3 linked regions of the Tamandua tetradactyla genome follow. The protein of the gene in region 2 purifies or fractionates together with the protein of the main gene of each other region. This does not show direct contact. Links are inferred from orthologs where the notes say so. Each region holds a gene or a part of one and is shown on either strand. Other genes may lie near its edges.

Region 1 (10,040 bases), on a different chromosome or scaffold from region 2:
TTAGAGTAATCTTTTATCCCATAGAATTGTCCTGGAAACAACTCCTCTGAGACCACTATTCTATAGGATAACATTTTAGGATGAGGAGCGATCTTGGAGATGACTTACTCTACTTCCTAGCCAGCACTTGAACTACTTCTCTGTCATCCATCTTGCTGAAGATAATGTTCAATAACAAGCTAAGGTCCAGTTTCTTCCAGTTGAAACCTCTCTGGAGAGTGTGGATATGTACTATTATTCTCAAAGCATTGATTTTATGCAAAAAAAATACCAACTTTTCAGACCTGGGAGTCAAGAGACCTAGATCTTAGTCCCATTTCTACTCCTGATGTGACATGAATAAACCCACTTCATTTCAATATTTGTATAAGAGACATGGTCCCAAGACTCTGGCACAGACAAGCACATATTTGGTGACGTCTTAGGCAAACATCTGATGATTCACTTTAAAAAAAATTGAGACGTAACTTTATACAGTGTACTAATCTCAAGTGCACAGCTTGGCTAATTTTTAGTGTGTATACATATTTGTAAGCTTTCATTTTTAAACAGTGTTGAATGAATAATTAAAGGGTATAAGTAACAGAATCTAGATGTATGATGTTGGCAGCTGTGAAAAACAACCTCCAATCATACAATTGGGTCAAATAAATTTTGACTGATGGGGAACATATCAAACTCATATCTAATTCACTTTATCCGCCACCTATATTATATCTTCCAATAAAACTATCTTGTTAGAGATATTACATTCCTTTCATACTGTTGGACTAACTCTTTAAAGTTTAAACCAAGACCTCCTAATTGTTTTCTGAATACCTACTAAGGGTTTAGTTACCTAGTGCTGATGAAGCTACAGAGTAAGCCAGAGGATCTCTGACCTCAAGGAATTTTCAAAGATGAAAAAAAAGATCCCAGAGCGAAAAGAAGCTCAACAGTTATACAGAATGGCACTAAATGGAGGCTGATACCAGAACTTGGATTTTCTGCTCCAGCAGGCTGCTGGATCCATTTCCCCTTCCTAGAAATTCCCTGCACTGGCTTTAACTTCCTTACTGAGTGGCCTAGAGCATAGAGCAGTTCACCTTAATCTGACTCTGCTCCAGGGGACGATTCTCCTTTTCCTCCATTTCTTGTTTGATGCTGCAGGAGCCCAGTCCATCAGAACTCATCTTTCCAAGCCACTGGATATTAGTCAAGCTGTTGTCGAGAGGGCAGCCAATGGCCTCACCGGCAGCTAGAGAGGAAACAATCCAAGACTCCACTTAGCTGTCTGACCAGACTCCTGAGAAGCTCACCAGTATTGGTGGTTAGGGATCACCCATCCAAGATTTGTACCCTTAGAGATGGGGAATGCATGTTGAATCAAACATGGCTCTCACTTACTGTGCCCCAGGAGCATAGTTCAAATTGCATTTCAATCTGAGCCAAACTGAGCCTAAGAGGTTAGTGAAGGCAACCATGCAAAAGAGTTACTGAGTATTGCACAAGGAAAGTCATTTTTCCTACTTGTGCTTCAATTTTCTCTTTTATTAAGATGGAGAAAGATTGTCACTTATAGGATCAATGGAAAGAATAAATAGAAATAATAAGCAAATCCTTTTCAAATATGAAGATGGTAATAAAAATGCTAAATTATAATTGCAGCCCTTTCAACAGAGCCCAAAGGACTCAGGTCAAGGTTTTAGGATAATGATAAGCTTTCACAATTCAGGCTGGATGCTTGTCGGTTGTACCAATGTGGCTGACTGCGGGTCTTGTCACCAGATAGGAAAGACTGAACTCCTCACCCCTCTGCCTTGTAGCCCACATACCATAGCTCTCCCATCTCTGCCCAGGAAGGGCTGCCGATGGTCTAGGAAGATTCATGTCCCTCGCTGCAGGCTTTGGTCCCAGGGTCTCAGTTATCACTTCTGTTCTCTTGGCATCATTGCTGGTTTGGGCAGGAGGCTGGGATCCTGGTGGGTCGGTAGGAGGTCCCCCACAGCTGATAAGGATGAATTTGTTGGGCCCGTTGCTGCCACTCTCTTTCCCTTTGGCAGTCAATGCTGTAATGATGCTCTGGATGTTGGCATTGTTAGGGATGGCTACCACTTGGGTGTTGGGCATAGTGGGGTGGTTAATGATCTTGATCCCTGCTGGAAACTTGCAAGAGTAGGGTTCTCCCACCTCCTTGGAGGCCTGTGGTTGATCAGGCTCGTGCTGGGCAGGGGGCCTCTTGGGTTCCTCCTCCGAAGTTTCACCTGGGGCATTTTGAACAGAAAGGGGCAGCCTCCGTCTTTTGAGAATCAGTGGCCGACGGGGGCTGGTTTTCATTATTAATCTGTGCTTTTACTCTCCATTGAGAATCACAAGCAGGGACCCTAAAATGTACAAGAAGCAGTAGGATGTCAGAGATCTGTTAAGCTGAAAAGGAGGTTCTCTTATAGAGAGGTGCTCCTCTTCATGCAACCAGAGGTATGAAAATGAAAGCTTCCTGGACCTTTTGGACTCACCAATGATAGTAGGGACAGAAGTGCCACTGACAAAAGAAAGCTAAAACTGAAGGACACAGAAGCAAATTCAAAAGGACTGAACAATTCAGTAGGACTAAGTTGGATTTAGTCTGAAATAGCCAAAGATCACCTCCTGGAAGCTTAAGAATTCTTGGCCCCATAAATAAGTGGGACAGCTACAAACAGGAGGAAATCTCTATTATTGCCTGCAATAATAGAATGGAAGATGCCAGAATAGGAGGATATATAGTAATTAGGAACTCTGACTCATCCCATAATCCATTCTAGGGCAGAGCCTTTATATCTTTATGCCACCTTCCTTTGTAAGTAATAGGATCGGTGCCCACAGAATTAGGGGAGAAAGGTATACTATACATTGCACTATGCCACCGTAACACCAGAATCATCTTCCCATTCACAATACCTCAGATAAAAGGGAAGCTGCTTATTCAAGGCCCATGGTAAAATTGTGCAAATTGTACATTCATTTCATGGGCTATAACACATTGTCTGTGTTCTCATAAAAAAAGAAATACTTTTCTTTCTCCATTTGCAAAATATTTGCATAAGAGCATTTTAGCACCTCATGTGCTTATCCATATTTTAGCTTTCAGAAGCATGTCATCTTATTGCGTAATTTCTCTTCCAGAACCAAAACTATAACCCTTGACTCCTGACACCTAGAATATGTTATCACTAATTTAATATGGTGGTTCTATAATACTATGGAAAGTAGTTTTATCTAAAAAAAAAAAAAAAGTGCTTTATTGATTTTTTTTTTGTAACAAACATTTTTTGCTTTAGTTTCACACATAAGGTGACATTTTGCTTTGTTGATTTTAATAGCTACAAGGAATAGTGTTCCATTATATAAAATTGTATAATTCTATTTTGAGGTATTTTAAAAGGCAGAGGAATTGACAGTCTCTTTTTTAGGTCATCTGCTATCTCCCTAAAAAGTAGTGCCACACTTGATGACATATTACATTTGCTTAGAATTCACAGGCCCTCCCCATCCTGTCTCCTCCCCTTCCTTCAGATCTAGGCTTCCTCAGCCTTCAAATCTCAGTTTTACTTTCCCCTTAAGACTCTAGGCCTCCTCCCTCCCCCTATCAATCAGTAGATATTATATCTCCCCTTCACCCCCCATCTTCTTCCCGGTCCAAGACTTAATTTTCTCTCCTGTTCCCTGACCAGCCTCTATTTTTGCTGACAACACTCCATCCTGGGAGACTTCCCAAATGACCCCTCTGATCCCACCCCCACCCTGACCAAGGAAACCTTGCTAGGTTCTTAAGACCCAGGAGAAAGGGCTCTGCAAAAGGGTAGGGTACCGGCAGCGCTGCCTGGTGCTGAGAGCGCCTGGAGAGCAGGGGAATGTGCGTGAGAGTTGGTCTTTCACTTAATGCAGAAAAAGCTCAGTCTTCAGCCTTACCGACGGTCCCCGCTGAGAACGTGAACCACCCCGGCCCTCCCGAGTCCGTGGGCAGGGTGCAGAGGTCAAACGTCCAGGGAAGGCCAAGGGCAGGAGGTTGGATGCAGAAAAAGTTTGCACTCTCGCTCCGACCTCCTCCTCGGGTGTCCCCAAACATCCACTCCTGTCCCGCGCCCTGCTGCTAGCCCCCCTGACCTCCTGACCCGGAGGACTCGCGGGAGCCGCGCCGGAGACCTCGCTCCCGCCTCTGCAAGCTCCATTCCTCCGCCCCTGCTCACCTCGGGACTGCAGCTGCAGCTACTACAGGAGTCTGGCTCCTAGGGCGGGTTCCGGGCTCCTCCAACCTGGGGGCTGAGCCAGGCTCCCTGACGGGGACTCGCGCCAGGGCGGCCGGGTCCCCGGCGGTGCGGGAGGGGTAGGGAATCCCGGGGGATCCCGGGAGGGGAGGGGGTCCCGGGCCGGGAGCCGGGGGTGGGGTCCGGCACCGGAGCTTTCAGTTTGTTCCGCTGTTTGAAATTGGCGCCGGCGGAGCGTTGTGGTCACGTGACGGAGCGTCGCCAATCGGCGCCGGTTCTTGTCTCCGCGTTCCGGGCTCGAACGCGTCCGCGGCCGGAGAGGACCGGTCGCCTGAGAGGATCGGCGGCCGGGAGCAGCCGGGCGGGTAAGGCTGGGCTGGGGCGGCTCGAGCGGAGAGGGCTGTCCGCCCGAGGGGTGACTCACGGTGAGGGGCTGAGAGAGAGCAAAAGCGGGGTTCCCGCGTTGGGCTGGGACGCGGCGGAACCGCGGGGAAGCGGCGGTGGCCGGGACGCGGCCCCCTCAGCGGCCTTTCGGCTGGCCTCTCCCGCCCTCGCCCCAAATCGCCCCAGGTGACGCCCCTCTCCCCTCTGCTCCCCTCAAGGTTTGCCTCCCATTTGTAAAGTGTACCTATGAAGTGATACATAGCAGTAAATGATACTTGGTCTGTTTTACAAAGGTCTGATTTCCTTATTGGGGGACATTGTAGTCCATTTGCGTACAATTAACAATCGTGTACTTCCCGCGACTAGCCCGAGAGTTCTTTGAGGGTGGCATGTAATCTTGTTCATTTTTATTCCATCTTAGGAAAAAAATACATTTCTGTTTGGAGAAATGAAAAGGTTTTAGTAATGGAAGGTGGTGATAGTAGCACAAAGTCGTAAAAGTAATTAACGTCACTGAATTGTGTACTTAAAAAGGGTTAAAATGGCAAATTTTATGTTTTGTGAATATGTTTCCAAAACTAAAAACATACCCAATGGTAAAAAAATACACACACCATAAACCGTACCTCAGCTCTTCATCTACTACTGACCTGTCTCATCCCCTCATCCCTTCCCAAAGCCAAGTTTCTTGGTATAATAAAGTGCTTTATTTCTTCACTTAATAACAAATAGCTGTTGAGCATCTACTGTGTGTCAGGCACTGTGATAGGCCTTTGGGGTATGATGACAGCATTGTTCTTTCCTTCCCTTGAATTTACAGACCAATGGGAGTGTGTATGTGGGGAGAAGGTCTAGGCATTTTCAAATAATCACATAAATGTAGAAGTGTACCTATGAAGTGATACATAGCAGTAAATGATACTTGGAGAATCTGTAATAAAGAGATCTTAGGTAGGCCAGGAAAGATTTTTCTAAATGAAGCTTGACATTTGGGCAAAGAAAGGAGGGAAGCCCTGTAAGCCGAGGGAGTAATACTATGTACAAAGGCCATGTGTCAGGAAGAAGCATTCTGAGTACAAAAATACCTGAGGAGTTTGAGCTAAGAGACCTGAATGGAGTGTGGGTGTGAGGTGAAGCTGGAGCCAGAGGAAGCAGGGGCTTATCCATTCTGAGGAGTTTTGTCCTGAACTAAAGGAAGCCAATCACAAGTTTTAAGCAAAAGTACATGGTCAGATTTGCAGTTTTAAAAGGTGCTGCTGGAGGGGAGCCAGAATGGATTAGGGTAGACTAAAATTATTTCACTGGATTAGGGTAGACTATTTAAAATTATTTCAATTCTCCAAGCTGGAATTGTTAGCACTTGAAGAAGGATGGTAGAGAGAGTGTGTGAAAGGCAGTATTGAAGATATGTTTAAGAGATAATATTGACAGGGCTTGGTGTTGGTTGGCAAAGCGAAGGAAGAGGAAGTGTCAACCTTTCTGGCTGCAAAACTGGATGAACAATGACTCTAGGGCCCCGGAAGATAAGTCGTTTTTATGGGGGTGAGGGGGTGGGGGTGGGGGTGGGAGTGGAGGCATGGGGAAGAGAATAATGAGTTCAGTTTTAAGCATGAGTTTGAGGTGTATTTGAGACAGTAGGCAGTGGGAACTATGGAACCTGAGTTTAGAGAGTCTAAACTGAACATATAAATATTTAAGTCATCTACTTCTAGGTGACAATTGAAAAGTAAGTGAATGACATTGCCTGAGAAAGTGTAGAATGAGAAAGGCCTTAGACAGCAGAAGGGACTGACAGTACACCTTGAGTAACTGCTGAAAGGAAGAGGATAGGTGAAGTAGAAAGTAAAGTCATCTGTTGAGAGGGAAGGGGAGTTCAGAAGTTTTGAGAAAATGGAAGTTTTAAGATGATATTTGTAGGGAATGAGTTGATTAGAGAAACACAGTAGATTGCTGAGCAACGTGGTGAGCCCATTTTAGGCTGGTGACTTTCATCAAGACAGTAGTTTCAGCACTTCTCAGGCAACCATCGCTACTACTGTCATCTTCACTAGACTCTAGCAGTAGCCCTCTAACTGGACTCTGCTTCTCTCTCCACCCCCTCTTGCCAACCCAGCTTTTCTCACAAAGCTCCTAGAGTTATCAAAACAGTAAATCACATTATGTCACTTTCCTGTCCAAAACCATTCAGTGGCTTCCCACCAAAGAATAAACTCCGCAGTCCTTAATCTTGCCTACAAAACCTTGTGTCAACTTCCTACTACCTCATCTCCAACCTCACTGACCTTACTGTTTCTTACTTTGGGGTCTTCACACTTAACTGCTCTCTCAGTCTGGAATATCCTTTGCTCACGTTTCTCCATTGCTTGCTTGTCCTCCTTTCTTCTTTCAGGTCTTTCCTCAAGTGTCACCTTATTTAGATAGGCCTTCCTTGTCAACCCTGTCTAAAATAACACTTAGAAGGCTCAAACCCTTGTCCTATTTGATTTTTCTCCATCCCTCTCATAGCTTCCTCACTAGGTAGCGCCATGAGGGCAGGGATTTTATTTTGTTCTCTGGTTTATATCTCTAGCACCTGGAACAGTGTCTGGCTGGATCTCCACAGTTTCCCATCACCCATTGCTAAATATTGAGTGAATGAATGAATGAATAAACAAATGGATGTGTTTATTTCCTTAGTTCTCCCTAAAATGTTAGTTCCTTCAGGGTAGGGGCTTTGTCCTTTTTCTTTTCACTGTTTTCCCTTTCATACTGCTTGTTGCCAGGATATGTCATAAATGACAAACAAAAACCAATTATGACATTTATGTGACAATTGGAAATGTGAATGCTGTCAGGACGTCTGCATATTTGATGATATTAAAGAATTAATATGTTCTTATATATTTTGTGTTAATGGGAATAATGATGATTCAGATCATATTTATTTTAAAATAATATAAGGGTTAGGGGAGAGGGTTGCAGATGGGTCAAGGTTTGTGGTGGGTTGATGGTTGGTTATTAGACTTTGGTGATGGCTATATCTGGGCTCATTGTACTATTCAATCTACTTCTGTGTATGTTCAGAATTATCTGGGGTTTTAAAAAAAGCCAAATATGATCATATCCTTCTGCTTGAAAATCTTCATTGACTTTTCAGGCTAAAGTTCAAACTCACGGCACACTTGATTTTTCTAATCTGACACCATGTCTAGCCTCAATTCTTACCACTTGGCTTTTCATATGCTGAATCCACCCATACTGGTATACTGATGTTTCTCGGCCTTTGTATGTGCTCTTCTCCCTGGGAGTGCTCTCCCTGCTTCGTTGCTTCTCCTAGCCTTTCCATGCCCTGAAGAGAGGAGACACATTTTTCTCATATTGTTTGGTAGTTGTCTGTTTCCTCTCAGCAGCCTCTCAGCTCCTTGAAAACAGGGATCTCTATATTGCTCTACAAGTGTTTGGTAGTCAAATGCGTCTTGAATAAATGGCTCCCAACACCCTGTATGGTACTTAACATGTGTTCAATAAATGTTTATTAACATGTGCTTAATAAATTTTTATTGAATTAATGTTGTTGAATATGAATCATTGTATTTTTGCTTGCTGTTATAGGTGTAGGAAGCTTGGTCCCTATGACTTTGAGGTGGTAGTTTTTGTTGCAATAGGTTGCCTGGGTATCAGGAAGAGCTACAGAATTATCTGGATTATTTTCTCCCAGCTTTTGTTTCTTCTCTACAGGCATGGGTTGGAATTGGAGCCTGTCACCCCACCTGATTGCAACCAGCATCATGTGGTTGCCAACTGTTCTGCATTCATCTGTTGATGCCGCCCAGAAAAAAACGCCGCCAACGATCCCAGAAAGCTCCACTGCTATTCCAGCAACAACCACTGGAGGGCCCCAAACACCACTCTGGATCCCCACAGCTTCCCATCACCCATACTAAACGGGTGCCCAGCAAGCCTATTGATCACAGCACCATCACTTCCTGGGTAGGTTCATAGGATTCTTATTTTGACTTTTACTCCAGTAGGTGTCTCAGAATGCTAACCATTGAACAAGGACCTCCAAAGAATAAGATTTTTGGGGTGCAAAAGACAAAGAAGCATTGTATTCTTTCTGTTTTCAGCCATCTCTTCTTTTTTTCTCGTTTTAAACTGAGACATGGGTTGGTTAGAATTGTTGCCTTTCCCCCTACATTCCTCTAAAGGAGTTCAGTGTAAAGCTTTCACCACCCAATAGCCAGAAAAATGACAAGAATATTGTTCCCTGAGTTTCATATGAGAAGTGGAGTACTCAGGTATTCTCTTTACTGTTTAATGGATTGAACTTTGAAAAACAAAATGCACAGAAATTGGATATGTGATAATTTAACTATTTAAAAGCTCTGGAATAAGGGATTAGCTACTATATGGCATGGAAATAGTATAACAAAAGGGCTAGACAAAAGCATAAGCTCTGTTTAGTTAAGAGTGACTAATAAATAAAACTTGGCCAGGACTGCTTGGAAGAACTGTAATACTCACTTGAGGATTGTGGAAGAAACTTAAATTTTAGAGTTCTGTGGACGAAAATAAGAGTGAATATTTATTGACTACTTACTATGTGCCAGACCCTATGCTGATTGTTTTACATACATGATCTCAGTTCCTCATTCATGCATTCAGCCATTTATTATTTCCTGAGCGAGGCACTCTACTAGGTTCTGGGGACTGTGATGTGAACAAGACTGCTGTTGGTCCCTCCTCTCATGAAATATAAAGATACTTTAAAAGTTGCAGCCATATTGTGTGAAGTCAAAGAGACATTGTTCCTTTCTTAAGTATAAGGAAATAGCCAGAGATTGATTTTTTTTTTTTTTTTTTTTTACCATAGCTCATATCCCTTTCTGTTACTATGCCACTAGACAACTGTTATTTTTCTATTTCTATTACCAAAGTCGGCCCCCGTATAGGATTCTGGTCACTGGATGTCAGTTCCTGGTTATGGTTTGTACTTTCAAGTTTGTACTTGGCAGTTGGTTCTCTTCACTTCTTTCTCTTTTTTTTTTTAATCCTTAGATATTGCCTGAGTTTGACATGACAGCAGAAAGTTGGTATCCAGTCAACCAGAAATGTCATCACCAAGACCAGGCAAGACATTCAAGTCGCAAATCTGCCGCCTCCAAGTTTCCACAACTAATCTTTGAGAGTCCACAGTCTTCTTCCAGTTCAGTGACACTGGAGATCCCCTTAAGCAAGAAGGGCCCTAGTCAACTGGCAAAGGACATTTCTGGAAGGCCCTTAGTTCCAATGCTCAGCCCCCAAAGTAGTAGGGAACTGTCAGTGCATGCACTTCAAAGTCCAGGTTATGTGTTCATTCCACCTGATATCCAGACCCCAGAGTCATCTGTGAAAAAACCCATTCACCCAGATCAGAGGAAGAACAGCCTTCCAAGCTGCTCCCTTCACTCT
Region 2 (9,801 bases):
TTGTCATTACTTATCTCCAGTACCTAAAACAATACCTGAACCCCAGTATCTGCTCAGTAAATATCGGTGAAATGGACAGCACACAACTGGTATCAAGAACCCAAATCACTGTTGCTACAAACAAAAGCTAAAAGAATTCTGAGCACTTACTTTGTACCAGGCACTTCACTAAGGCTGCTACCCACCGTCCTACTGGGTCTTACAGACGAGGAGTTTGTGTGGGGCTCTGCAGCCAGGCTGAGGCTCCTCGTAGCCCTGTCTCTCCTCACAGGAAGGAAAGGTGGGCTCAGACCCAGCACATGCAGCGGGGATGTGGGCAGCACCAAGGCAGCTTTCCCACACCAACACGCAGTGGAGAATCAAACATGCTGTGAGTGAACCAATGGGAGGCGTCTGAGAGGCCCACCCTGCCAGGGGCGGTGGGTCTAGTGTGATGGGTAGGCCTTGAAATGGGGGTCTCATGCCACCGACCCATCACACGGGGAAGGGGGTAACCCACAGCTGAATTGAGCCATGGCTGTGCGCCGGACACTGAACTCACCATTGCCAGGACCACCACCATCGCCCTCAAGCTTCACACCAGCCCTGTGAGGGAAAAGACCTCTCCACCCAGAGATAAGAGAACCACCGCGGCTGCAAGGTCTGTGTCTGCCCAAGCTCACACCCAGGCCTGTCCAGCTTCAAGGCCAGGGCCTCCACCTCTCCATAAGCCTCCCGGGTACGTCACACACACTCTGAGCAAGGGATTCAAGAGGATCAGAGGCACATTCGGCTGGCTCCCGTCTGCAGGTATATTTTACCTGCATGGTGTGTTTTACCCACACACCATTTTAAATTAGAATTAGTTGCCCACTGTTAGAAGTCAGAAGATTTCACATAAAAATCATTATTTCTGGCTTCTCTTTGAAAACAGATCTGGCAACGACAGAAAGGCAGGTGAGAACATTCCAGTTTGCCCCAGCGGCCTTCACTCTGTCTGGCTGCTACTGAGGCTGTGATGCCCGGTGTTCACCACCCCAAATCTTCTGGTTACCTGCCTGGTCCCCAAAATGGATAATCTGAAGGTCCCTCCTTCCTGGTGGGATATTCTAAGCATCTCCGATTTTGGGGGTGGCAGTGGGAGAAGTAACTTTCATTAAGCCCTATTCTGTGCCTACTGGATACTGTTTACATATAGTCCCATTGTCACATTTAAGAGCTTCTTGATAAAGGAGCTGAGAGTTTAAGTGACTTCCTTCAGTTTGTAAATAATGCAGCAGGGCCTTGGACAAAGGTCTGTGGGCCCCCTCTCCCCCTGCTGCCTGCCTCTCCATTAAGATCCAGGAGGTAGGCTGTGGAATACACCCCTGCTACCACACCCTGTGTGTCCCACCCCATCCCTGGCCTGGTGGGCACCACACGATTAGCATCTCCCTTAAACCTCACACAACTATTTTGTGGGCAGGTGCTTTCATTGTCCCTATTTTATAGACAAGGACCCCTGAGCTCAGAAACATTAAAGGATTTGCCAAGGATACAGCTGCTGAGTGCAGAGTCAGGATTTGAACCGACATCTTTTTATACCAGACCCTGCCACTTAAGAAAAAGCAACCAGAGGTCTCCTCTAAAACCGTACCCTCTCAGGAGCCAGGGCCAGCAAGGCACAGTCTGGAGGAACCACCCTCCAGCCCCCAGCCCCAGTGTTCTTGTTGCTCCCTCTGGGCAGCCCCCACCTTGATCTTCTGTTGATAGATGTTGTCATCCTCGGCATACTCCTTATATAGGACCGAGAGCTCCAGGCGCTCTGAGACCAGAGGGTTTTGCACAGCAATCTGCAGGGGGTGGGAAATCCATCAAGCTCTGGCAGTCAGGTGGAGGGGATCCATGCCTAACAGCCAGGGCACCTAAACAAAGGGTGCTGGCTGGTCACCCAATGGCATAGTAACCTCCATAACCACCTAAGACCTAGCACAACATGAAGAGAAGAGAGCTTCCAAGTGGAGACAGACAACAGACCTGTGGTGGCCTGGAGCTGTGTACCCCCAGAAAAACATGTTTGCATTCTTAATCCACCCCTGTGGGAGTGAACCCATTGTCAACAGGAACTTTTGATCAGGTTTCTTTAGTCAAGGTGGAGCCCACTGAAAGAGGATGGGTCTTAATCCTATTACTAGAAGCCTTATAGAGAGGCCACAAAAAGAGAAACCAGAAGAAACGGCCAGAAGCTACAAGTCAACAGAACCCAGAAGAGGAAGGAGAAGATGCCACCATGTGTACTGCCATGAACCCAAGACTGCCGGCCAGCCAGAAGATACTGACCCGGGAGGAAGCAAACTTTCTAGGATCTGAAATGATGAGCCAATAAATTCCTGTTGTTACGCCAACCCACTGGCTGGTATTTGTTTCAGCAGCAGGAAATTAAAACCGTGCCCAGCCTGGGCATTCACGCAAAGGGGCACAAAGGGCCACTGCCTCACAGACCCTCACCTCTTGCTGAATGCGGTCCTGCTGAGCCATAATGGCTTCATCATAGGCCAGACAGTTCACACCTGGAAGAAAAAAAAGATTACAGTGGGTCTTGGCCACCTCCACTCTGGACAGCTGGGGCCAGAGGAGGAGGAGAAGCCTGAAGTATAGAGGCATGCTTCTTACACCCTGCTCCACTCCAACTCTGTCCTATTATAACATTGGTGATGCTGCTTCTCCTCCTGGGCCCCAGTCTCATCTTTAAAATAAGACAGAACTGATTGTTCTCAAGGTTAGTTTGTCCAGACCTGGCACCCCCTCCCTCTCTAATTTCTAACATCACTTCCCTGCAGCATGAGAATGCTCTTGGGGCCAGACACGGTCTCTTGGGGAAAGTAAAATGGGAGAAGGAGGCAGAGTCTGAGGCTAGATTACTGCTTCTTATGAGCCTGCATTCTACCTGGTCACACCCTTCCCCCTTCTGCAGCCTGAGTAGCTTTAACAGTGCCCATTTTACAGATAACAAAACAGATGCAGAGGGGTGAAGTAACCTGCCCAAGATCACAACTAGTAAAAACCTGTGTTGGTCAAACCCAGGTTTAATTCCCAAAGTCTGATTTCTTCACCAGAATGACCCCATTACCTCACTGCAGAATCAACTGCCTCACCTGTAAAATGGGGCTAATACCACCACCTTCTCCCCTCACTGAATTGTCATAAGGAGTACATGGGACCTCAGAAGTTCCCGTTAAGTGTGATCAAGTTGGGCAGGTCCATCCTGTGGACCCCACTCTGTGGAGCCAGCAGACCTGAATTTCTTCTTCTCAGTCTCTCAAGTGTTTGGTTAGGATGGGCGTGTGCCTGCTGAATGACTTGGGGGCCCCTCTGGGGCCTGACCATTATGCATTCTCAGCTGGTCACTGGCCTGCAACACTGCTGCCCTCCCATCCAAGTGAGCTGGCTACTCAGTTCCCAGAGCCCAACTCCTAGGTGGAAAAGGGAAAGGGAGAGGTGCGAAATGCTGCCCCCACCTCCTCAGGAGTCGGAGAAAACAATGCCTTGGCAGGCGGCAGGAGGCTACAAAGCCAGAAAAGGGTCTCTGCAGAAAACGAAGGTCGGGGCCCTAAGAGACAGACACCGCGGCAGGCCCTTCCAACCCCAGGTTCCCGCCTGGTCCTTTGGGCTCTGCAGCTCAGCCCTCCCCGGGATAACCTGACACCCTCCGGGCCGCGTAGGCTGCCTTAGAAGAAGGCGGGCGGCTCCGCCGGTCCTAGGCCTCTGCCGGACGGCCAAGACCTGGGCGGGAGGGCTCAGGCAGTGTACAGTTGAGGCCCGCCGCGGGGGGAGGGGGAGGGGCGGGGGCGGGGCGGCGGAGGCCCCGCCCCGGGTTGCGTGACGGGGAAGGGCCGCTGGCCTGACCCGCCCGCCCACCCGGGGGTCGCAGCAGCGGCTTCTTCCATTGTGAAGGGGAGGGGGGAGGGCAGCACAGAAGGGGGCAATCTGCGCGCTCCGCCCCCGGCCAGCGGCGGCCTCATCCGCTCCGACCTACTCGGGAACGGCTGGCCCACGGTTGCCCCCGCCGGCTCGGGACGGACATCCTTCCCTCCGTCGTTACCTTCAGAGTCGCTGCCCAGCGGCTCCTGCTTCTGCTGCTGAGGCTCCTCCGCCGCCATCTTTAAACAGCGCCGCACTGGCGACCGCTTCCGGGTTATCTATCGCCCTCCTCCCGGAAGTGAGCCTCTCTCGGTAGCCCCTCCTTGGCAACACTCCTAGCAACGAGGTCCCTTCGGGCGTTGTCAAGTGATGGCGTCCAGGTCCTGCGTGGCAACCGCAGGCGTGCAGGCCCGAAGCCCTGCAAAAGAAAGACCGCCTCCTGCCCGTACCGCCACCCCGTATGTTTGCTTGTACCATCTTTCCCAGGCTAAGTTTCCGATGGTGATAAGAGCCTCCTGGAACCAATTCAGTTTGCTTTTCACTGGAGTTTGAAACGCGGACTGTTACTGAGATAAGGAAGAAGATGACATTTAAATCACTGAAGACGAGATTCCTACTGCGGGTGCCAGCATGCGATTGTAGCTGCAGAGGGAGCATGTGGACGGGGAGATGGGAAGTCACGCTAATCCTGGGACGCCCCTCAGAGCCCCAGGACGTCAGCGGTGTGTCTGCCCCTCACCGCGCCTCCCTTTCTATGCCGGCTTTGGTGTCCTGCTCTCGGCCCTTGGTATCGAGGCCAGAGCCCGGGGACCTAATTTAGGGCTCCCGTACCTTTCCGGTTGGAGAGAAAACAAGGTCGTTTTAAAGGCAAAGTTTGGAGAACAAATTAATGGCCAGTGGTTAAGGAGGGGGGAGGGGGCGGGAGGGAAGTGGGTGTGGCTACAAAAAGGAACTGGAAGGATCTTTGTGAAGATGGGAATGTTCCCTTCCTTAACTGTATCAGAAAAATATCCTGGTATATCCTATACTATAGTTTTGCAAGATACAAGATGTTACCAGTGGGGGTAAAGGGTACATGAGATCTTCTTGTCTTATTTCTTACAATAGCCTGTGAATTATTTCAAAATTTCAAAATAAGGCAATGCTGGAGGTGCACAGCTGAGTCCCTCCCCAGCATTGCCCTCCAGGGAAGGAATTTGCTCCCCCATGATCCTGCCTCCTGATACCTGCCCTGTGATAGTGATTGAAGACCTGGTCCCCTGGCCTCATTTTAGGATCTCTCTGAAGGCCTATCCCCGCTTCAGAGCTCCCCATGGTACTAAGGCCTGTTTCAATTATATTCCAGTTCAGTTTCTCTCTCTACCCCATCCTGTTCCCTTCACTTCCTTACCTACACTGTTCCTGTGTGCCCAATAAACCTCCTGAATGAAAAAATAAATAAGTAAATAAGCAAGGCCTTGAATGCTGAAGATGCTCTTATTTAGAAAGGTTGCAATCTGGGGCTCTGGTTCCTAACTTTTCACTACCAAGGGGAGTGACAGTGGTCTTTTAGTGCTCAAGGAGGCCTCAGTCCCAGTCAGATCCGTAGATCCATGGATTACAGTAGTGGAATGTAACTAAAGATTTCCTGAATGATGGCTGGCCTTGGAGGAGGTGCCTTTGGTGCCTGGCTCACTGCTTACCCAGCCCAACCGTGTCCTTCTCACAGCTGTGTTTCAAATGCCAAATGTGTGTCCCAGCAACATCATAAATTACTGTTTATTAATTGGGCCTTGGGGATTGCTTCCAAAGTCAAGAAAGCAGAAGGTCCACTCTATTTGGATCCCATGCCTATCATCTGTCAATGCCTTTTCACTGTTTGAACCATGGAATATGTAACTGCCTATCAGACCTGTAGATCAGAAGAGAAAGCAGTATTAACAAAATAAGAGCAAAGATGCTTGATGAAAAAACATGATTTCTATTTGGCTCTTTTAAAATCTTGAAAAGAGTAATAAGACAACCTTCCCTCTCCCTTACCTTGATGATGGAGTCCACAGGGGTAGGAGTGGGGCTGGGACTAATTGTGGGCACCTGGACCACAGCTGCTTTGAAGAGTGAAAAGGATTCCCAGCTGCGGCTCAGGGCTGGCGTGCAGCCAGGCTGCCAGTACAAGTTAAAGCCTCCTTCCCACCCCTGTGGGCCTGGGGCTTGAAGAACGGACACACACCCTCAATGTACAAAGGGCCCATAAATGAGGGTCCTCTCTCCCATCTACTCCCCAGCCCTCCCCCTCCTTGTCAGGCAGAATGGAAAGAAAATGGCCAGAGAAAAGTTTTGGTTTTTTCATCCAGCCCCAAGACTGTCAACTTTTGCCCAGTGCCAATTTATTTGGTGGTTAAGAACTGTTCTCTTACACCCACCCCAACTCCCCTGTAACTTTTACCATGTTTTAGGCTATTGATTCTCTATCCTCAAGAATCTGAAACCCAACGGCAGATCTGCCAGGAGTCACTGACACAGCTCCAGGAGTCTATTCTGCCTCCCAAAGTGCCAATCCAGAAATGGTCAAATGTTGCTGGCCATGGCTGCTGAGGGTATGTACTGAATGAAACAGGCAGTGCTGGGGCTTGGGTTCAGCCTGCTGTCGGGTATGGTCACAAAGCTGACAGGCTGCAGCCAAGGACTTTATTTTCCACTGTACCTACATAGGCATGCCTATGGTGTAGGACAGAGGGCCCTGCCCTGATGTCCTAGGAGGCTACCTCAAAGTCCCCGAGGAGAGGGGAGGAGCTCGAAGCATCCGTGCCTGAGAGCAAGGCTGGGAAGAGGGAGACCCCTCCACATCCCATCTGGGGACCCAGCCACAAAGGAGTTTACAGGATGGCACAGAGTCACATGGCTTCCAGACCCATCCCACCTCTTCCCCCTCCCAGGAGAGGGGCCAAGCTGGGGGGACCAAGGCACCCAGAGACACCATGGACTCTAGGACGGCCACAGTCCTCACAGGAAGGCCGTGGCTAGGAGAAAGCCTCAAAGGGTAAGGGGCTAGGCAGTCCTCGCCAGGGCAGGCGTGGGAGTCACACGCTGCTCGGACAGCTGGAGTGGGGACATGCCCAGCCTACAGACGAACCTCTGGAGCTGCTGCTGCAGGGACTCGCGATTGTTCACATGGCAGACGGCCCCCAAATCACAGCCTAGGGAGGGTGTGATGGCTGCAGAGGCCGGGATGATGAGGCTGAGCAGGCTGTGTACTTTGGGGCCGCCGCTGGGCTGTGAGGCTATCCTGCCAGATCCAAGGTGGCAGAGGCAGGAAACAGAGGAGGGGCAGAGGCAGCAAAGGGAGAGGCCCCTACCCAAACTCCTTGCTGGGACACCCATCTCAGTGTCTTACATTCCAGTTCACATGACCACCTGCTGAGTCTCCATGGGGGGTCTCTGTGCAGGAGCCTCAGGGCACCAGGAGAAAGATGAGTTCATTTCCTGGTCGTTGCTGTAACAAGTCACCACACACCTAGTGGCTTAAAACTACACAAATTTATTACCTTACTCTTCTGGAGGTCAGAAGTGAGATATGGGTCTCATTGGACGAAAATCAAGGTGTTGGCAGGCTGTGTTTCTTTATGGAGACCCTAGGGGAGAATCCGCTTCCTGGTCGTCAGGTTGGTGGCAGAATTCAGTTCCTTGCAGCGCTCCTTTTCTTGCTGGCTGTCAGCTCAGGGCTGTTCCCAGCTTCTGGAGGCAGGGCATTCCTCCATCTTCAAAATCAGCAGTGGTGGGTCATGTCCCTCTCAGATCACATCTCTGACCCAGTCTTCAGGCCTCCTCTTCCACTTTAAAGGACTTGTGTGATTAGATTGGCTCACCCAGATAATCCAGGATAATCTCCCCATTTCAAAATCTGGGGATTAGGGCATGGACATTTTCGGGTGGGGGTGCCACACTTTTCTGCCAACCATACTATCTTCATTTTACAGTCATGAAAACTGAAGCTCAGAAGAACTATGTGGCTTGGCCAGGAGGGCAATGAATTTACCATAGAAATTCAAGACACATTCCTCTCCTGGTTTCACATTCTTGCTGTGGCAGCCCCATGGCTGTGAGAGCAATGCTTGATCTGTGCCCACAGCCTGAGTAAAACAACCCTGGGCCAACCCAGGGCCAAGTTCAGGGGCCTCTGCTCCAAAAGTGGAGGCTTGGGCATGGTGGTCCCCACCCCCCACCCCTTGACAGCCAGGGGCTGCCAGGCCAGGGTCAAGCATGGGAAGAAGGGCAGGGGGCACTCAGGGGCTAACATGAACAGGCAAGCCCCCCAGAGTGAAGCATAGAACAAAGGGTACCCTGTAGTCTGGGAGGCAGGTGTGAGGTGGCTCCTTTCCCCAGAGACAAGGGAGCTGCAGAAGGACCCTGCAGGTGGCAGGGAGATACCTCAAGCTCAGGCCCAGCCAGGCTCAGCCTGCCCCAGACTCAACACAGGCTTTCCCTCTACACTGACCAACCTTCCAACCTGTGCACACCTCCCAGCATCCAGCCCCCTTCCTGCCTCAAGCAGTCTCTCACCTCTCCTCCAACTAGGCCCTGTCCATTCAGCCTCCGAAATAGAGGTCTGTTTGTATGAAGACTGAAGTCACCTAGGAGGCGGAGGACCAGCTCCTTACCCTCAGAGAAGCAGAGCTAGGCAGGAGCTGGACTTGCCACAATACTAGGCACTGGGTCTCAAGGGCATCCCTGGGTCCCAGAGGCTTCACCACTGGGTACCACACAGAGGCCAGGAGAGATTGGACAAAGGGAAGGTAAGCAAGGTCCATATGCAGCTCTGTTGACACATAGCAGGGGCAAGACCTCTGCAGAAAAGGAAGTAGGAAGACATGTATTCTGACACCCAAGGCCTGGAGCTAACCATGTCCTAAACCATGTTTGGCAGCTCTCACCTGCCAAATTTGTCTGCTGTCCTGGCCCCCGCTGTCTAGCAGCCTTAAGTGTCACAGGACAAAGAATCTCTGTTCAGAAACCAACCAAGTCACCCCTACAAAGAGGATGCAAAGGAGAGCTAAAACCTGTCCTCTACCAGGGGTGGGGCCTGGCAATCTGAGGGTTCCTTCTGGACACTGGTGGCCAGGAATCCAGCTCAGCTAGGAGTACTTCACATGCACCATCCTAGCTAAGGAGGCACCCCCAGACCCCTAGAAACCACTCAGTAAGAATCACTGAGGAAGCGTCTCTGGGGATGAAGAAGCAGCAAACTCCCCAAGCCAAGGAGGGGAAGGAAAAGGGAAGCAGGCAGGGAGGACAATGAAGACCAGTCAGTCCATAGCATTTATGGCGACAGCACTAAAAGGAAAGGGACCCTGGAGCTGACATTAAAACAAAAGCAAGATACTGCCATTGATTCTTGAGTACCAACAAAGAGGGCTAGAGAGGATGAACAAGAAGATCAACAAGAAAGGTCGCCCTATGACAAATGCCAGAAAACGTTTAATTGATGGGAAGCGTGCAAAAGCAGGCACCACTTCCAGGCAGCAGGGAGAATGACTGGGGCGCACACGACAGACACGGGGCAGACGCACCCCCACCCAACACCATCCTCAGCGCAAGTCTGGAGGCAGGAGCCCAGACAGAAGGCAAGAGAAGTTTCTGAAGCAAGGTTTAAATAGACTTTATTGTTACAATCGGGGACCCCACCAAGCAGGGCCTTCTAAACTGATATATATATGGTCCCAGATGTCCCCATGGAGACATTGAGAGGTCGTGGTTGCAGAAGAGGCCACTGCAACTGAAGGACATGATATGATCCAGGGAAGGTCAGCCAGGAATGCAGGAGACAGGATCAGAATGGGCAGGGGGGTGGTCAGGTCACAGGATGAGGAGAGGATGGCCCCCTTCACTCCCGCTTCTTGTAGTTCTCCAGGTGTGACAGGACCCAGCCCGACGGCACGAAGAAAC
Region 3 (10,532 bases), on a different chromosome or scaffold from region 2:
TAAGAAACAATCAAATTACCCTACTATATATCTCAAATACTCTTCAGATATAGGTCTGACAATCACAAGAGAACACAACTTGTAGCAAAAAATATAGGTAACTCACTAGAACATTTTCATGTCAACCACAACACTGCCACATTTCTAACAGCCACTCTCATTCTTGAGCCCATATCTCTATGCAAACTATTACAAGATTATTTTTCTACACTTGACGAATTTTGGAAGCACTGTTAAAAAAACAAACATAGCACTACCCAAGATGGCCTAAAAATTGCCAAACACGTTACTTTTAATGCATCTTATACAAATCAACATTTTTAATATGGTCTCCCTAAGTACAGCTGAAATTAATTCTTACCACAAATTCCTATTCTTTACTGTTTTTCATACCCATTTTTCTACTACCAAAATTACTAAGAATGTTCACAAGTACTTAGGACATTTGCTTAAAATGTAAATAATTACAGTAGTGCAGTATCTAGAAAACAACAAATCCATTAGCTTAGCACATAAAATTTGTCCTCAAGGCAAGTCACTGAATAAATAAAAAAGAAACAACTATACTCTTATTTACTGCATTTACATTTTATAACATCACATTTAGCAATTTCTAAATTTGGAAGGTCAGATCAGATTGCATACAAGCACTAAATTTAAAGCTTAACAAATGTTTTAAGTTTTTGCAATATAACTCTGAATATAACGTTCTACAAAAGTAATCTGTATTCTGCAGAACAAAAATCAGTACTATTCATAATAATCTCAGCGAGAAATACAAAATCAGTACATTCAAAACACAAAAATGTCTCTCATACATGCTAAAAAATACTTTTTTCTCGCAAATTTACTGAATTCACCTTTGATAAGTTTTGTTTAATCCACTTGCAAATCTGGAAAGAAGCAAATGCTGCCTCTTACCGGTGCACACATACCCAGACAATACGTGAAATCTCTTGATATTTTGTTCACAATTTGAAATCAAAACAACAAAATGTGCTTCTTACCTGCAGTTAGGAGGAGGATCAAGGGTTATTTCAGCTAGCTCCTTCTGAATTCTGTTGGTGAAATGAGAACAGACAAAAAGCATTGAGGTAGTCTACAGAATAACCAGGGAATTACACTGCCCTCTACCACCATGCAGTTAAATGCAAGGCTGGCTTTGCCTTCAGTAATGCTAACATGGCTGCTTCCTCTTTGTTCTCAGAGGCATAACCCAAATCCCTTAACAGAAACTTTGCAGCTTTTTTTCTCACTTGCTACTGTAAATAAGTAAAACATTTAAACCTGATTTGGGAAATAGTCCCCCACTAGTACTCAGTAAAGGATATAAAATCTATTTCAAAACACTTTTTACTAAAGAAATTCTCTTTACAAGCTTATATGCAAATGAGGCAAGAAGGGAGGAGGGAAAGCACTAGAATATTTGACAATGACTTCGAGTCAGTTTTATTGAGGTAAGAATTAACATGCTATTTTAAGAACATGGAAGTAGTTTTGATGATATTTTATCTGCTAAAAAAAGTTTAAAATTTACAAATATTTTCATCAGTGAAAAACTTCCAAAGGGCTCTTTAGCAATCTTATTTAATTGCATGTTTCCCTAATCTTAAAAAAGTGCTGAAATTTAAAATATTTCAAGGAAAATAAGTTATACTATGTAGCCTTGAATTAAGGAGATAAAAAGCAGTTCTCTCATTTTATTCAAATTTTACATGCTTTCAAAACAAGATTTGTTTAACATGTTCAACAAGACTACAATTGAATTCTTCAAAGTCTGCTATCATCTAATAAAAGAATTCTTGTTATTAATACCTGATTGATAGAAGATAGTAAAAATCTACAGAAAAGAGTATTTCTGAATCACTACAGAATGAAATATTTGATCAGTTTTTCTATTTTCTTTGCACTTTAGTTGTGATCAACAAAATGTCAAAATAGCTAATGCTATAGATACATCTGATGTATCTCTGTACACATATTTACTAAAATTCCTGGGTATTCAATTACCATCACTAATGGAATCCCATTAACAAAATATTTTTTTGTCCATCACAGATAATATCAATCAACATGAACAAATGACCTCTCACTTGGAACCAACAAAATGCTTCTCCTGCTGCTGAGCATTAACGTGTCAAGCATATCTATACACTTTAGAGTAACCAGTCAAAAGGATGATGAAAATCTGGCTATTGAAAACTTCCACTGTTAGCCAAGTGACACCTAAAATTGTAAATGGCTGCTTTTCAAGTTTTACTTGTCCTCACAAGAACAGAGGGACAATCATAACTTGACTATAAAAAGTAATATCTGGGATGCATAGTTTAAAATCTGGTTTATAAAACTTAAGACAGATCTGTAGGACAATTTTAAATCCGCTTTAGCACACAGCCAAGGCCTTGAATGTAAAAGTTTTTTAGCAGATGTGATAATTCTGAGCACTTAAGTTCATGCTGATTTTTAGTGTCCATTTCATGACAAGTATGACTCACAAAAACGAAACACTCCCAGTGCACCATCTAATTTGGGTTCACCAAATTAACCTTCACAAATTCTTTAAAAAGTCTGTCAGGATGTTCATCCAAGCTCTACTAAGAAACACTGTCTGAAGTTACCAAAATGCAGACCAAGTTTGCTTAAGAAGTACAATTTGAGGGAGGTAGTTTATATACCACCTAAAGTATAGGTGGCTCATTCAAGTGTCAAGTGCAAATAAAACTGATCATGAAGTAAATGTTTTTGAACTACTGCTGCTGATGTAAAAACCAATGGAAGTGTCCAATCATTTGGAAGACAACCTGACAATGTGCTTAATTCTTCTTTTACACATTACCTTTTAGCACTAGTGGATAACTTAGCAGTGGTTTTGCTAGAGAGTTTGGTGTTTTTCTTCTGCTGAGTAGCAGAAGGTTTTCTTTCTTCTTGTTCTTCAGGCTCTGGAGCGGCTGGATCTCGCTGGTCCGCATCTGAACTACCACTGCTGGTGCTGGGACTCTCATCATCGGACCTTTGCCTGTCACTGGACATCTTGGTGAAGTTATTTCTTGGAAAACTTTTAAGGAGAGAGAGAGAAAAAAAGGGGAAATGTTAAGTCTAAGAATAAACCACTAGCATTTTCTTTTCTTAATATTCACCTAAAATAGTAACTTAATGAAAAAAGCTTCAAAAATGTTCACACATCTCATCGTACAGCAAGGTTACAGGGGAATTGGTATGTCTCACAACGCCAGCGTTCAAGGATTTTTTACCGAACTCAAGTTGAAAAACCCACTCACATTTTTTTCCATCCCTTGGACAATTTATCAATTGTCTACTTTCTCAGAAGGCATGAAACAGATTTGCCAGGGAACTTAGGCAACGAGCATTAATAACACATGACACACTGTAAATAACAGATCGCGCTGAAAAATGTTAAAAAGTCACTAATAACGTCTAAATATTTACACAGTGATATTGGTCAAAGCTACCAAATTCCCTTTCTGAAAGGAAAACATACCCTGTTAATCGCCCATATGCTTATTTAACGTGGCGATTCCTCTTGTGTGTGTGTAAGCCTTTAATCACAACACTTAGAAATTTAAAAATCAACTAACAAGCTACTCTAGCCGTTTCCACGGCCAGCAGCAAAGATTCATCCGGCCAAAACCGAGCTGACACCCTGGGAAAAGCAGAATCCAAACCACCTTCTGCAAAGCTCCCAATGCCACCACGGTACCTCGCTCAATTTTTACATCACGGACGGACATTTTGTCCAAAATAGCGAGAGAAAAAAATCTGAAGAAAACAAACAAACAAAGCCCCAAGAAGTGCAACAAATTTCCGCGCCCGCGGAGGCGAGCCGCGGCCGGTGGCGGCGGCCACGCAGCTCCGCGGCCCTTTGTGGGGAGGGCCGCGCGGGGGCCGCGGGCAGCGCTCGCCGCGCCGGGCGCCAAGTGATGCGAGCAGCCGGCCGTCCCCGCCGCGGCTCGCGGACACCGGCGGCGCGGGCGCCCGGCGCGAACAAAGCTGCCCGCCCCCGCCCCCTCCCCCACCGCCGCCGCCCCGGCCGCCCCGCACGCGGCCCCCGGGCCCCCACGCCTTACCTCGGCCGCCCGCCCGGCCCGCTCGCGCGCCGCTACGGTGTGGGGGAGGGAGAGAGAAAAAAACCCTTCCTTAAGGAAATGGAGGCAGCCGAGGGGGGGGGGAAAGGGGGGAGGGAAAAAAAGAAGCCGAGGAGGCTCTGGCCGGGGAGTGTGGAACATTGAAAGTCGGAGGGGGTTGTGCAGTGCCGGGCTCCGGCCGGAGGGTGGCGCCGCCCAGCGCCTTCGGGGAAAAAAAAGGGGAGGGGGGGTGTTGGGAGCTCCGCGGGGCGAGGGCGCGAGCTCCCGACGAGGCGGAGGGGACGCGGGAGACCCCCGCGCGCTGTGGCCTCCCGCCGCAGCCGCCCGGCTCAGCTCCTCCCGGCGGCGCAGTCAGCAAGTTCCGAGCCGAGCAGGGGGGAGGGGCGGCGGCGGCGCGCGTGCTCGCTGCTTGCCTGGCGGAGGAGCGCGCGCCCCCGGCGCCCCACGGGCGCGAGCTGCTCCTGCGCGCTCCCGCGCCTTCTCTCGCGCCTCACTTCACCCGGGGGGCGCACGCGTCCGCCCGCGCGCGGCCAGGACAAAGAGCGCGGCGGGGACCCGGCGGGTTGGCCCCTGTCGGCAGAGTCCGCTGAGTCCGCGCCAGAGAGGGCGGGGGCGCGGGCGCCGTCTCGCGGGGCCGCTGAGCCGCGGGGTGGCTTCCGGCCTGCGCCTGCCTCCGGGGCGAGGCTGCCCATTGGGCTACCCGGGGCGAGGGTACCTTAGGGGCGGGAAAGCCGTGGTCATCCCTAGGCTGGATCTGTCTCCTCTGCCTGCTCAGGGGCCGACGTGGACCCTTGGGCCCCAACCCCTGTGCAAGGGCCCTAGACGCGTGGCAGGGAGTCCCCTGCCGCCCCCCTCAGCACTGGAAGACTCCGGGTGGTGGTGATGAGGCCTGGGACAGGCAGAAGATAGCTGCCTTCTCTCCCTCGTTAGGGGCAGGGGCAGGATGGGATCGGGGACGTTAGTGGGGAAGAAAGTATTGCGAGACTGGGGGACCAGCCTCTGCTTCTCTTTGACCCCCAAGCCCGCAGTTGTCGCACTCAAAGGAAACTGACCTTCGGATGCTTTGAAAAGTTAAAAATTCAAAACAGTTTTCAGATATCCTGCTCAACATTTTAGAAAGGTGGGGAGGAGAGTTTGAGGGCTCAAACCTGACACTTTGCTGCTAAGCTGTTCTGACTTGCATACCAGAGACCAGTTCTGGAAACAGACTGGATCAGAATGTCCACACTGAGAGAAGTAGTGGGAATAGTAGAGTCTAGTTTTATTCTACACTTCTGTCTTACAGAGTCTCCAGGTGGACTTTTCTGTTTTTACCCTAAGCACAAACTAGCCAAAAGTACAAAAACTTCCTGTTTGCAGCCCAGACCTCCTCTAGCTACTGAGAACTTGTTCCAGTGATGGAGCCCTAAAGGAATTTGCGGATTCCTCTCCCACAAGTTTCCAGGGGCCCGAGTGCTGGGAGAATGTGGAGTTCACAGAGAGAATGGCAGTCATAGCAGAAGAACAGGAATTAGAAGGAAAAGAAACGAAAAAAAAAAGACTGCATGAGCCAACATTTTTACTCATTTTTCTTCTAAATAGAAAAGTTTTGATAAAGGGATACTTACAACTCTGACCTGTAAAGTTACATTTCTGTAATTTTCCAAAGACACAGTCATTCCATGAACTTTGTTGAGGGATTTGTACCAGGTGCTGGACATACCAAATACACTCACTTATTTTGTGTGGGATTAAAGCCAGATTCCTCTCCTCTGTGCTAGTTCTCAATTCAGAAGAGGAATGGATTATTAAAACTTACTAGGTTATTAAGAAGGAAAGATATTCCTATTCCAGTTAGGATGAGCAACAGGTCTCAAGAAAGAACATGGCGTGTGTATGGACGAGCATTTCAATTCGGCTGGATCGAAGGGTGCAATTTATTAATGAAAATATAGACAGAAGGTTGCCCCCAACTTTTACCCTATGTGACTCTATAGCATAAGCCAGCCCATTTGGCATTTGGGCTTTGCTCTGTTCAGAATGGAGAGATGTTAAAGGAAAATTATATGTTAAAAATTGGTTCTTTCAGGAAATTTACTATTACAGAAATAGCTTTCAAGCCAAAGGGCCAATTGCTGATCGGATTTGGGTGGGGCAGGGAGATCGGGAGATAAAGATGTTTAGCTGTGTTTGGTGGCATCTTTTACAGAAGAAATAATATTGGGCTCCAAGCAAAGGAACCGGATTCTAATCCTTAATAGTTTGTGTGACCTCAAGCAAGTTACTTGTTCCAATTTACTTTTTCTCATATATAAAAGAAGATTGTATCAAAGGTTCTAAGTCCACTTTTGCTGGAAAATGCCATAATTCTTCAGTCAGTTTGGACTCATGATGAAAGTTCCACTCAACATTTATTCAACTACTAAATGATGGGAAAATGGAATGAAATATGGAATCCACCATAGTGGATATTGATATTGATAAATGGTGCCCAATTGCCTTCATTGCCCTAACAGGGTAAATTCAAGTGGTTCTTTACAAATCACAGCACTACTCCAAGGTAGCATGACATCACCACCTTGACCAGAAGCATCTCATCAATTAGAAGTAGTTTCTAAAGTGATCTTCTTCCTCAAAGGACACCCTGTTCTGTAATTATTTTAGCTCTCTCTTGTTTTTGCAGTGTCAATCCTTAAAATTGGGGATCATGATTATACGCATTCCTGAGGGCATACAAATTTGACCTAATGCAAATTATTTCATAAAGCATATAATTAAAAATTTCTCATAAGGTCCTCAAAATAGCCAGACAATGTGGATACCAGCCACACAAGAAAGTTGTTTTTTCTCAGTCTCCTGTGTTGGAATGGAATCTTGCCAGTCTCTCCATCACAAACCTGAAAAGAGGGGCAGAGGTAACAGACAATACTAACAGATATTGCCACAACTACCTACTCTCCCTTTTCCCACCGAATGTGTAACCAAAGGCACCTGTCCTTATTATAAAGGTAGGCTGGGTTCTGGACAAGGCAGACTCCAGAATCCTTTAGGAGTTTAGGAGATGCTTTCTCCTGAGACTTTCAGTAGATCTCGGAGTTTTACATACATTGAAGCATGTATATGTGTGTCTACAGAAAATATACAGAAATACATAATTTGAGTTGTCTAAGAAGTTTCTCAACTAAGTGACTGTGTAAGCTAGGATGGAGCTACAGATCTTTTTAAAATCGCTTGCCATGGGCAGCAACAGACCTTACACAATGAATGTGGAATAAATATTATTTTTTAAATTTCAGAATGTTTTTATTTATTCCTGCCACTCAGTAACTTTCCTTAATATCCTTTTATATTACCCCCTTCTTTTTTTAGGCCATTTCCGTTGCTTCCCTAGTACTTGTATTCTTTTGTCCTCTGACTGCAACATTTTTCTTTCTACACATAAAAACTGGGTTGGTTTACTAGAAAGGCAGTTCTTGGCCCAGTCTTAGTTTAAAAAGCCATTTTTGCCAATGTTTGTCTCAGTGTCTCTGGACACCAGAGTTCAAAGTGCGGCTTGACATCTAGTATTCCTTTACTGTGTCATGTGTGGAAAGCCTGTCACATGCCAGGCATTGGGCTGAGCCCTGGAGTTATACAGATGCATAAGCCTCAGTTTGACTTCTTGGATTCAGTTATCATTTTCTGCTTTTCTCCTGAGGGAGGGTAGATACCAAAAAGGGGTCATATCTTCATTCCATATAGAACTTGATACACTGAAACAAAAACAAGAGCACCTTAATAGGGAAAAAGGCATGAACAGAAAAATTTCAAAAAGAGATGCATTTATTTAACATTGTAAAAAAAATTCAGCCTTACATATTATCAGAGAATGTAAATTAAAATGACGTACTTAACAAAACAGCAAAAACAATTTCTAATGATCGTAATAATTGCTGGCAAAAAATAGCCCTTGTCCAACCCTCTTGAAAAGCAATTTGGAAATTTTTGCCAAGAGCCTTAAACTTTAACCAAGTTATTCCATTACTAGAAATGTATCTGAATGTGAAAAAAATAACATTGAAAATCTGTAAATGTCCCTCTATAGGAAAAGGATTAAACAAACAGATTCACCCACGCAATAAAATTTGCAATTAAGGAAATAATACATATGAGAAGCATGCAATAGTCATAAAAAATGGACTATAACACGTCAGTGAGAGTAGAATTTGTGCATTTTCATTATTGTAAAGTCAGATGCTGGCTCAATGAATTTGGCACAAAGTAAGTGCTCGATAAATATTTATTGAGTGAATAAACACTATATCGTTAAAATTAGCAAAACAAAAAATGTCTGAAAGGAAAATATTCCAAAATGATAACTATGCTTATATTTTAGAGGGACCATGAATAACCTTTTTTTTCTTTTTATATTCAGTATTTTCATATTTTTCATTAATGAGCAGGTTCTGTTTTGATAACACAGAAAAAAATATGTGAATAAATGTAGAGATGTAGATTTGGTAAAAACAAATCGTTTTTTTTTTTTAAGATTTTTAAAATTTTATTAGAATAAATATGATTGAGTTCTTAAAATCAATAGAGAGAGTTTGTGATAGCCTATGCTAAAAAGCAGCAGAAAAAAAGCCATAGAAGAAAACATGTATTTAACCAGGTACAAAAATCGGCTATGCTTCCCAACATTCGTACACACACACACCCTAAGTTGGAACACACACTAGACAAAACTGTTTGTACAGTGAAAATATATGTATCACATATAATTCTGTGTAGCCTTATAAAAATATCAAACCATTATAGATACCTTATAAAAATATCAAACCTATAGATATAGGTTGGAAATTGAACACAACTGAACTGTACGTAGAAAAGGTATTCATCTTTGCATTATAATGACATACTACATTTTGCTCACAAAATTTGAAAATCTAAGAACTGTATAATGCCAAATACCTGTGAGAAGATCATGAGATGGGCACTTTTCTATATCACTGGTGGCATTGTAAATGAATATAACCTTTTTGGAAAGCAATTTGGCAATATGTTTCAAGAGTCATAAAAATGTTCATAACCTTTGACCTAGTAATTCCACTTCTGGGAATCTATCCTAAGGAAATATTCCAAAATATTAAAGAATGCCATGTGCTTGACAGTGTTTATCCCAATGTTATTTATACCACGTAAAAATGGAAACCATTCTAACTGTCCAACATAAGGGTTATGCTTTAGTAAATTATAGTCTTTTCACTTGATGGAATATGATATATGAACATAAAATGGTGAATGTTGTAACAATCATTTTTATCACCAATCCCTGTTCAGTGGTAAATCCTTCTCTATAAGATCCACTTATGCTCTGCTTAGTTAATAAGACTAAAAAAAGAAATTGAACATCACCTTTTTAACTATTTTTACTTAACATTATATCATTTAAATTTTTCTGAGATGCTTTACAGCACCTCAAATAAAATTAGGTTAAGCATATGCTTCTGCTTAGAAAACAAAATTGTTTGCACAATATGTTTTTTTGGAATAAATATAAGAGATTTGGAAGAAATATACAAGTAGAATGATTTTGGGTTAAAGTACAAGTTTACTTATGATTCTGGCTACTTTTTCTATATTGCACAAATGGTTATCTAAGTTTACATTCCAATTGAATACCTTAATGACTAAAGAAGGCAAATTTAAAAAAATGGGTATGTTTCTACGTTGAGAGTTAGTTATCTTTAGCTTTTCATGGGTCTGTTTTAGAAGCTTGTCATAATTTATAAAATTTATAATTTGACATTGATAAAATGTCAAAGTACATATGATTTTAACTTCTCTGAATTATAACATCTCAAAAGAACTCACAGAGCTATGTGACTGGGTAAAAAAATAATGATAAGTAGTTTTCAATACAAATACATACTCAGTAGTGGCAGAGTAGGATGTCTCTGACTTGGGTTCATAAGGTAATGACCACTTTGTAGCAGTACTTGTAACCCAAAGAAAGGATATTGAAGCACTAGACGTTTTAACCAAGGAAATTGAGGCTAAGAAACTCTAAATGACTTCCCTAAAGTCTTAAAGATAGTTATTGACAGAACTGGAGGCAGAACTTGGGGATTCTGCCCCCAATCCACTATACTGTCATAGCCACCAGGGCATGTAGTCCAGTTTCCCAAAGCACCAGCTCCTATAGAGATGTCATAAAGGGTATTGTCAAAAAGTTCTCACAAACCTAACAGTTTTTTCACACCCTTGTTCATAAGCATGAGAGAAACTTTCTCTGACATTGCAATATAAATTTGGTAAACCTGTTATAGCTCATAACACCCTATCTATTTTTTATAATATTTACCATAGTTTGCATGTAAATATTTATCTGTGTGATTATTTCTTTAATATCTTTCTCCCCCTGCTAAAATAAGGATGGGGCTGTATCTGTTTTCTGTGCTTCGTATAGGG

Evidence for each region. The genes of interacting proteins can lie anywhere in the genome.
Region 1: the proteins of OTUB1 (region 2) and FOXM1 purify together in Homo sapiens (affinity purification with western blotting; 4 studies listed by BioGRID, with this or other methods). This does not show direct contact. The link is inferred for Tamandua tetradactyla from reciprocal best matches to the Homo sapiens genes OTUB1 and FOXM1.
Region 3: the proteins of OTUB1 (region 2) and UBE2E3 purify together in Homo sapiens (affinity purification with mass spectrometry; 3 studies listed by BioGRID and IntAct, counting the BioPlex papers as one, with this or other methods). This does not show direct contact. The link is inferred for Tamandua tetradactyla from reciprocal best matches to the Homo sapiens genes OTUB1 and UBE2E3.

What each region holds. Positions count from the first base shown.
Region 1 is NC_135333.1:65,019,681-65,029,720, forward strand, and holds the start of FOXM1 (forkhead box protein M1), read right to left. Parts: upstream 4,459-10,040; 5' UTR 4,209-4,458; intron 2,364-4,208; 5' UTR 2,317-2,363; coding exon 1,815-2,316; intron 1,238-1,814; coding exon 1,086-1,237; intron 1-1,085. Other genes in the region: RHNO1 (RAD9, HUS1, RAD1-interacting nuclear orphan protein 1), read left to right, coding at 8,412-8,579, 9,648-10,040. UniProt on the Homo sapiens protein: Transcription factor regulating the expression of cell cycle genes essential for DNA replication and mitosis. Plays a role in the control of cell proliferation. Also plays a role in DNA break repair, participating in the DNA damage checkpoint response.
Region 2 is NC_135335.1:10,630,067-10,639,867, forward strand, and holds the start of OTUB1 (ubiquitin thioesterase OTUB1), read right to left. Parts: upstream 4,187-9,801; 5' UTR 4,119-4,186; coding exon 4,061-4,118; intron 3,795-4,060; exon of another isoform or gene 3,477-3,794; intron 2,529-3,476; coding exon 2,467-2,528; intron 1,812-2,466; coding exon 1,713-1,811; intron 1-1,712. Other genes in the region: COX8A (cytochrome c oxidase subunit 8A, mitochondrial), read right to left, coding at 9,740-9,801. UniProt on the Homo sapiens protein: Hydrolase that can specifically remove 'Lys-48'-linked conjugated ubiquitin from proteins and plays an important regulatory role at the level of protein turnover by preventing degradation.
Region 3 is NC_135329.1:153,624,463-153,634,994, reverse strand, and holds the start of UBE2E3 (ubiquitin-conjugating enzyme E2 E3), read right to left. Parts: upstream 4,459-10,532; 5' UTR 4,086-4,458; intron 3,828-4,085; exon of another isoform or gene 3,687-3,827; intron 3,649-3,686; exon of another isoform or gene 3,500-3,648; intron 3,056-3,499; 5' UTR 3,031-3,055; coding exon 2,837-3,030; intron 1,059-2,836; coding exon 1,008-1,058; intron 1-1,007. UniProt on the Homo sapiens protein: Accepts ubiquitin from the E1 complex and catalyzes its covalent attachment to other proteins. In vitro catalyzes 'Lys-11'- and 'Lys-48'-, as well as 'Lys-63'-linked polyubiquitination.